Coturnix japonica: one gene and its partner. The protein of the gene in region 1 purifies or fractionates together with the protein of each later gene. This does not show direct contact. Links are inferred from orthologs where the notes say so. Each region holds a gene or a part of one and is shown on either strand. Other genes may lie near its edges. The genes, in order: CAMLG and TNFRSF13B.

Region 1 (3,914 bases):
TAAAGAAATAGACACAGAGGTCTGTGAAAACATCTCCCATTTTGCTGTAGGTGTCCATAGAGCGACTGATCACTTCTGCAGGGATTCCAGACAGTAACAGAGCAGCAGTTAGTACTGTAGTTTTCACCTTCTTCTCACTCTAGAAGGAAAAACAACAGTATGTTAGTTCTTCTGCTACAGTCCAGTTCTGCTTAACATCACAGTTTCACATACCCAGACACCTCCAGATTCACTGGCAAGAACAGCGTGTTTGCACTGGTTCTCTCCAGGACTCACAATACCTTACTTAACCCAGCTACAAATTCAAGCTGTGGAGGATCTGAGGAGCTGAATGAGAAGCTCATTAACAGCAAAAAAACTGCATCATGGGTGTTATGGCAATCCAATCACATGGCAATCCAATCAAGCTGTAAAGCAGAGTTATGGATTGAGGATAAATACAAAGCCTCACGCACTAATATCTCATTTCTAGCTGTCATTCAAACTGGAACACAGAGCCCTTAAAGCCCAAACAACCACCTTATGACCACATCCACAGATTTTGCCCAGGAATCACATATACCCAATGGCTGCTGATAGAGACAACAGTAACCACAGAAGAGTGCTACCCTAGGAGAAAAGCAGAACCATCCTAAAGACATGAAAGATAAACTGGAATTTCACAGTCAGATGCTTTTAGTTATCTTACAGCCAGGTAAGCTGCTAGCCCATGTTTCCACAACAACTCTTAAAACCATTTGGACTAAATGTGGGCATACTGACAGCTGGCATTAGCTATGAGCATTTGATAATTCTCATTTCTAGAGCTCAAAACAGAATAAGAACACTCCCCATGCAACAATACAACCTAAGCAGGGGTTTAAAACATTTGAAGTTAATCTAATTGAGAAAAATTGCTTTACCTTTGGAAAGTACTTGGATAGTCCCATGTAAGCAAGTTGTAGAGTAAGAAATGGTGCAAATATTGACTGACGGAGGAAAAAAGAATATATTAAAGTTCAGAAATAATACATAAGAACACAGAAATTTAATTAACAGCACTACCATTGAATACAGACAAGTGATGTATCACAGGAGCATTGTTCCACCTTGCTTGCTTTCAGTCTTGAAACCTGAAATTGCACGACAGAGCAGTGTGTACTAACAGGCTGAGTGCTCCAGAAGGTGGCAGGCTGCACCAGTCATGCACTTCTGCAAGACGTGCCCGCAGACACCTGCACTACTGAGGGACTATTTTTCCTCAACAGGTTGATAAATGAGCAGGATCTGCACCTCACAGTGCAAGTGTTGTAGCTTTTACTCTGTTATTCTTTCCTAAAGAACAACAGTTGACTCAAACTTGCATAAGACTTAAGCAGTAATAATTATTCTAATGTTGCTTCTCCTCAAAACATTAAGCACCAAAAGCATGCAACTCCCAGCTGTAACTCAGCAGCTGTGCTAGATAATGCAGATTCTGACAGTTATCATCTCAAGGATTGCCAGAGTTGTTTGGTTTGCTTTTTTTCTTATCTTTTACACAGTTGACAGCATTGTAAAGAATGCCTTTAGTTCCCAACCCACTTAGCCCTACATAAACAGCTTTCAAGCCCAGATAAGTAGCGTTTTATATGAGCTGAGTCCTAAGCCTGTCATTAATAAGTCAAACAGAATGGGACTGGTTGCTCCGCTGAACTCACCAAGTACTTGCACACAAAGGCCCTCACTGCAATGGCAAGCAGAGCACATCCCACTAATCGAAATATGCGGAAAGAATCAAACTCCTCCACCGCATTCCCGTTCTCTTGGCTCGGCTTCTCATTCATTAGCTGGTTCCTCAGCTTCAGAGCTTCATCAAACCTGGATAAGTATTGTTCTAATCCATGCCTGGGTGGCCGTGCTGTGGCTTCAGATGGCAGCTCCCCTCTGTTACGGTGCCGGAGCTCACTTGTACCCTCACTGACAAGCTGCGGGGTCTTACTGAACAAGTCCTTCTCCCCTTTGAGGTCTCCCATACTGACTGCATGGTCAGTTGTTCCGGACACACTGGAGACCGAATCACCGAGCACGATTCGTTTTGAAACAGAAGGAAGAGGATGGGAATTCGATTTATCTTGTTCGAGTTTTGATTCTACGTGACTTTCATCATCTAAAGAAGAGAAACAAAAACACCGAGTTACACGCACAGCACTGCATTGCAGAGGTTAATGGCTGGGTACCCAAAGGCCCCGATGGACGGAGGCTCCTCGCTCACTGTGTCAGACACTGAGGGACCGCGCTCAGCGACTTTCTGTCACTGAGGTGAACGGGGCCGGGCCGCGGCCCCACACCTGGCTCAGGGCTCACCCTTGGCTGCCGCGGGCCGGTGGAAGCCCATGATGCGGTTGATCCGCTCCTCAGAGTTCATCAGCAGTTTCCTCCGCCGCAGCTCCGCCCGCCGCTGTGATGCCGACAGCCCCGCGGCAGCGGCGCCCGGCCCGCCGCCCTCCTCCATCCCCGGCACCACAGGCCGCAGCGCCGCACAAAAAGGGGCTGCGCCGCGCATCAACGCGCATGCGCCATCACCGCCCGCTTCCGGGAGCCGAAGCCGGCGGCACCATTTTAAATAATGGCAAAGAGAAGGCAGACAGCCCGCCGCTCTCCCAGCTGTGACGGGGCAGCGCAGTGGAGGACACAGAGCTGTGCCCTCAACAAAGATGGCCGCCGCAGAATCGGAAGTGACGTCAAAAGGCGAGAGGCCCAATCCCCATCAGTCTGACTTGCCACTATCCCATTCTATTCACGCAGTGTGACCCAGCACAGCCCCGCACTCACACCGCTGACAAAGCACTGAGGGACCTGCGTGAGTTCAATTGATTTTATTGAGTAGCCAAATCTGATAAATTAGCACAGATAAAATAAGCATTTGCATGTGTTACAAATGGCTTTTTGTTTTTTACAGGAATAAAAGAGTGAAAATTACAAACTGTAAAAAGGAGGACAAGGAAACCCTGCCTCGAGTCCAGAACAGGGGAAGATCGATCGTCTCAGAGTGAAAGATTTAATAATACAATATTATACACTACTGTACAACGGCACATTGACTAGTGGATGACATCTGTAGGAAACAGAAGCTTAAAATCACATTGAATGGTCCCTTATTTAACAGCCATTTTGCATCTGTTTATTAAATACTGTTAAGAAATTAAACCTAAATAAAAGAATCGTTCTAGTTATTGCAAAAACAACCTACGTGGACTTAAGACTCAAATATATTAAATTAAGAATGAAAGCAAAGTAAAATGGATGGTAACGACGTCGGCTGAACACTAATGGGTCAAATACAGGAATGAGTTTAAAAGAAATTCCTCAACTAGAAAAATAGAATATATTTGCAGTGGGAGTTGTGATGAGATCTAAGAACCAGAGCCACTCCTGCCTGTTTTTATAGTTCATCATCAGCATCATTTTTCCAGTGGTAGGTAAAAGCGAGGCATTGTGGATAGCTGCGTCCATCTGTCCTTATTGACCTTACAGCACAGCAGGCTTTTCCCATTGCCAGGGAATAAACTTCAAGTTCAATACAGAATTAATCTGAAGGTGAAAATCCAAAGTGAAAAAGGCATGTTCTGCTCCAAGAGGGTTCAGCTGAGCCTTGATTATGTTTTGTCTTATAAAACTTAGGGAATCCTACAAGTTAATTGCCACACAGACTGACATCTGTAACTGCTAGTCTGGTGTACATGGAACAGTCCAACATTTATTAGAAAAAAGGAGGGGCTACAATACAGTCATCATAAGCAGATTTGGATGGGCTGTTAAATGCAACGACAGCTCCCAGCATCTGAGTGATAATATACCCCAAATACAAGTTTTAAGTGATAACCTATGCAAGTGCATAGCTTCCATTTAAATTGAGAGACTTCTTTCTCTGGAAAAATAATTATCCGACTGTC
Region 2 (3,281 bases), on another chromosome or scaffold:
CTCTGTGTAGGAACCTCTGTATGTTCTTACTGTGGATTTGACCAAGTTTCTCCCTGTTACCTTTGCTGATAACTCTATTTATATTTCCAGGTGGGGAGGCCACGTCTGATGGTGAGGAATGTTCCCCTCCAGCTTATCAGGGCTGGAAGGAAGGACCTGGCTGTGGGTGTGTGCGTTGCCTGTTTTCTGGGGCACAGATGGCTCAGTTTGAGCAGAAAAGGCTGAAGGACTGGGAGGGGGAGGTGGTAACCAGGGAAGAATTGAGGATGGTTAAGAGTAGAGGCAGAGCTGAGGCTGAGCGAGAGCAGAGGCTGCAGGGCTTGCTGGGAGGCTGAGGTGGGTTTGGGGCTGTAAATGCAGCACCACACAGAGCTCATCCCACCCTCAAAGAGGAGACTGAGAAGCACCGTGTTGGTTCCCAGAGATGGCCTCAAAGCTTTGCCCTGCTCACCAGCCATGAGATAAAGCACGGGATGTCACTGCACCTCCAGCCTCCTGCTGCTCCTTACAGCTCTGAGGGGCTCCCCATGGCCCTGGTGCTGTGTGTGTGCAGTGCTCAGCCCGGTGCTGCCTGCCTTGGTGGTGGGACAGCAGGAAAGCAATGCATGGCAGGGTGGGGAAGGACTGCATCTGAAGGACTGCATCTGCTCGTGGTTCCTCCAGCAGTTTATTTTCCTATCCCCAATTCACACATCTGATGACACTCCCATGTATTATTTCAAGTCTTGAGCTCTGGTCTGAGAAACAAACTCAAGGCCTTGAATCTCCTCTTGGGAGTGATTCCACGCCAAGCAGAAGCCCTGCACTCTCCATTAGTGAGAACTTAAAGTTCCACGCACTGAACCCCCAGTTTTTCCATAGCAGCTTTCAAGCATCATCATTCCCGGCTCTGTCAGCAGCACAGCAGAACTCAAAGTGTTTCAGAGGCTTCTCAGCCCGGGATGGTTTTGCACAGCAGAGCCCCATTGCAGCAGTGATGCCGGTGCCCAGCACAGTTCCCCTGCTCCTGTGTGTGAAGCTGCATCAGTTCCCTCTGCAGAGGCCAAGCGATGCTGATGGAGGAGCTGTGATGAGGAGCCCCTGTGGGATGTCAGCCCCAACCAGCAGCGCACACGGAGGTGCCTGCAGAGGTTGAGCAGGAGGATGGAGCCGCTGCTAACGGAGAGTTTGGGTGAGTGGAAAAGAACAGTCTGTGCCTGCAGCCCTCGAGCAGAGGCTGTGCTCAGCCCATCCATCCTGGGTGCTGGAGGCAGAGGGTGATCAGCTGTGCTTGGGGAGCAGCCCTCCTTTGCAGCCCGGTGCAGGAGCTCCCGCAGTCACACCGTGGGCGTCTTCTCTTGTGAAGGGGAGCAGATGATTTTGAAGTGGCCATCGTTGTTACTGGGGATCGCCCCCGCGCTGCCCATGCTGCATATCCCAGCGTGAGGGGCAGCAGCTCGTTCCCCTGCGTGGCAGGATGGGCTGTGGCACGGTTTGCTCTCCTGCACAGCGGAGCCGTGGCCGGGGAAGCAGAAGCCGCAGGTTTCCACCGGCTCTGGGGCTTTGCTGCCCGTGGATCCTTCACCGACACTGCCAGCTTCCACCAGGTGATCTGCAGAGACGAGAAACACAGCGCAGGGCTGCACCACAGCCTGCAAGGAGGCAGTGCTGGAATGCACTGTGTAATTACATGCGCTGCTGCTGTGCTTGAAACGCATCACCCACATGTGTCCTGCTGCCCCAAGGGCAGAGGGGTAAATGGGAAGGAGCCTCGAGCAGGGGAGCTGCAGGTGTAGGACTAAAGCAGCTGTAACACTGATAACGTTACACGTGGGTTGTTTTTGCCCTAAGTGCTCCTGTTGCGCCATGTGCTGATGCAGCAGTGCTGTACAACACACAGGGGCTGCTGGCTCGGGGGCCACACAGCGCTGCATGGACTGGCAAAGGGCTCTGCTCTGTTCATCTGAGCTCTGACAATCAAGGTTGAGCGCAGGGTATTGAAAAGCAGGCGGTAAATCCCTTTTCACCTCTCGGCTGCCCTTAAAAGCAAAGGCTGAATGCCACAACATCCTCGAGGTCCTGCTCCTTCCCAGGCCGTGTGACCCATTGCTGGGTCTGTTCCCTCCCTAGGAAGGCTCTGCTTTCAGGTGACAGCCACCCCCCGCTGCCCATCCCTCCCATTGCCCCCTTCACTCACCCTTGGCAGGGTCCTCCCGGCAGTGGCAGGTCCCGGTGCTGGCCTGGCAGGAGCCCACCTCCCCCTTCCTCCGCAAGTGTGTCCAGCCCAGCACCAGGGAGCAGACGAGGGCGCAGAGGCAGAGCCCCAGCAGCAGGTACACCACCAGCCACGGCTCCTGCTCCACACAAACCTTCTGCTCCAGTGCAGCCGCGGGAGGTGATGCTGAAACCAGGGCGGCTGGTGGGGAGTGACTGGAGAGCAGAGATCCTGCAGGGCAGGCAGAGAGCAGAGGGCAGACGGGCACAGAGCGGAGGGCATCAACATAAACTCACACCTCTCCCACCCCTCATCCCCCATCTTACCTCCACACGCGGCATCGCATTGCTTGGGGTGCTGCCCACACACTGTGCTGCAGTTGATGCACTTCTTCACCAGCTCGTCATAGTAGAAGCCAGCTCTCCTGTTACAGACCGCAGACTCTGCAGGAAGGGAAGGAGAGGAGCAGAGCTCGCTCTGAGCACATCCATGGCCCACTGGGGAGGGATGGGGTCACACATGTGGGTCTGTAGGCAGAGTTTGGGGGCGTTGTGCCTCCAGCTCTGGAGTTGGCTGTTGGTCACCCTGCTGGCCACGAAGACACTCAGCTCTTTGCAGGGCCCTTCCCAGCAGCTCAGCCCCAACCTGTACCAATGTGTGCAGTTATCCCTCCCCAGCTTACAGGGCTCCACACTCGCCCTTGTTGAACCTCATGGGGTTCCACTCTTCCCAGCTCTCCAACACATGATGACACGAACAACTCCGTGCTGCACTGCACCCAGCTGCTGCCACAGCCCCACTGCTGTGTTTCCCTGCGCTTTGGGGTTGCATTTTGGTGCCCCACTCACCGCACAGCGCCTTGCACCTCCGCTCGGCCGAGCTCCTGCACATGAGGGTGCAGGGGATGCAGAGGCAGAGGAGGCTGTCCCAGTACTGCTGGTTGGTGCAGTTGTTCATGGCGGCTCTTCCCAGGCACGTCCCATCCATGGCTTTGGGAGGGGAGGGAACCGTGTGTGGGGTTGGTGCGCCCAACGCTGGGACCTGTGCAGGGGGACACGCGCAGCGCCATCAGTACCAGCAGCTGGAT

The links.
Region 2: the proteins of CAMLG (region 1) and TNFRSF13B purify together in Homo sapiens (affinity purification with western blotting; 3 studies listed by BioGRID and IntAct, with this or other methods). This does not show direct contact. The link is inferred for Coturnix japonica from reciprocal best matches to the Homo sapiens genes CAMLG and TNFRSF13B.

Annotation. Positions count from the first base shown.
Region 1 is NC_029528.1:2,444,864-2,448,777, reverse strand, and holds the start of CAMLG (calcium signal-modulating cyclophilin ligand), read right to left. Parts: upstream 2,600-3,914; 5' UTR 2,525-2,599; coding exon 2,326-2,524; intron 2,129-2,325; coding exon 1,680-2,128; intron 969-1,679; coding exon 903-968; intron 140-902; coding exon 1-139. UniProt on the Homo sapiens protein: Required for the post-translational delivery of tail-anchored (TA) proteins to the endoplasmic reticulum.
Region 2 is NC_029529.1:4,684,091-4,687,371, forward strand, and holds the end of TNFRSF13B (tumor necrosis factor receptor superfamily member 13B), read right to left. Parts: intron 3,236-3,281; 5' UTR 3,182-3,235; coding exon 3,043-3,181; intron 2,638-3,042; coding exon 2,521-2,637; intron 2,426-2,520; coding exon 2,177-2,425; intron 1,592-2,176; coding exon 1,317-1,591; 3' UTR 648-1,316; downstream 1-647. UniProt on the Homo sapiens protein: Receptor for TNFSF13/APRIL and TNFSF13B/TALL1/BAFF/BLYS that binds both ligands with similar high affinity. Mediates calcineurin-dependent activation of NF-AT, as well as activation of NF-kappa-B and AP-1.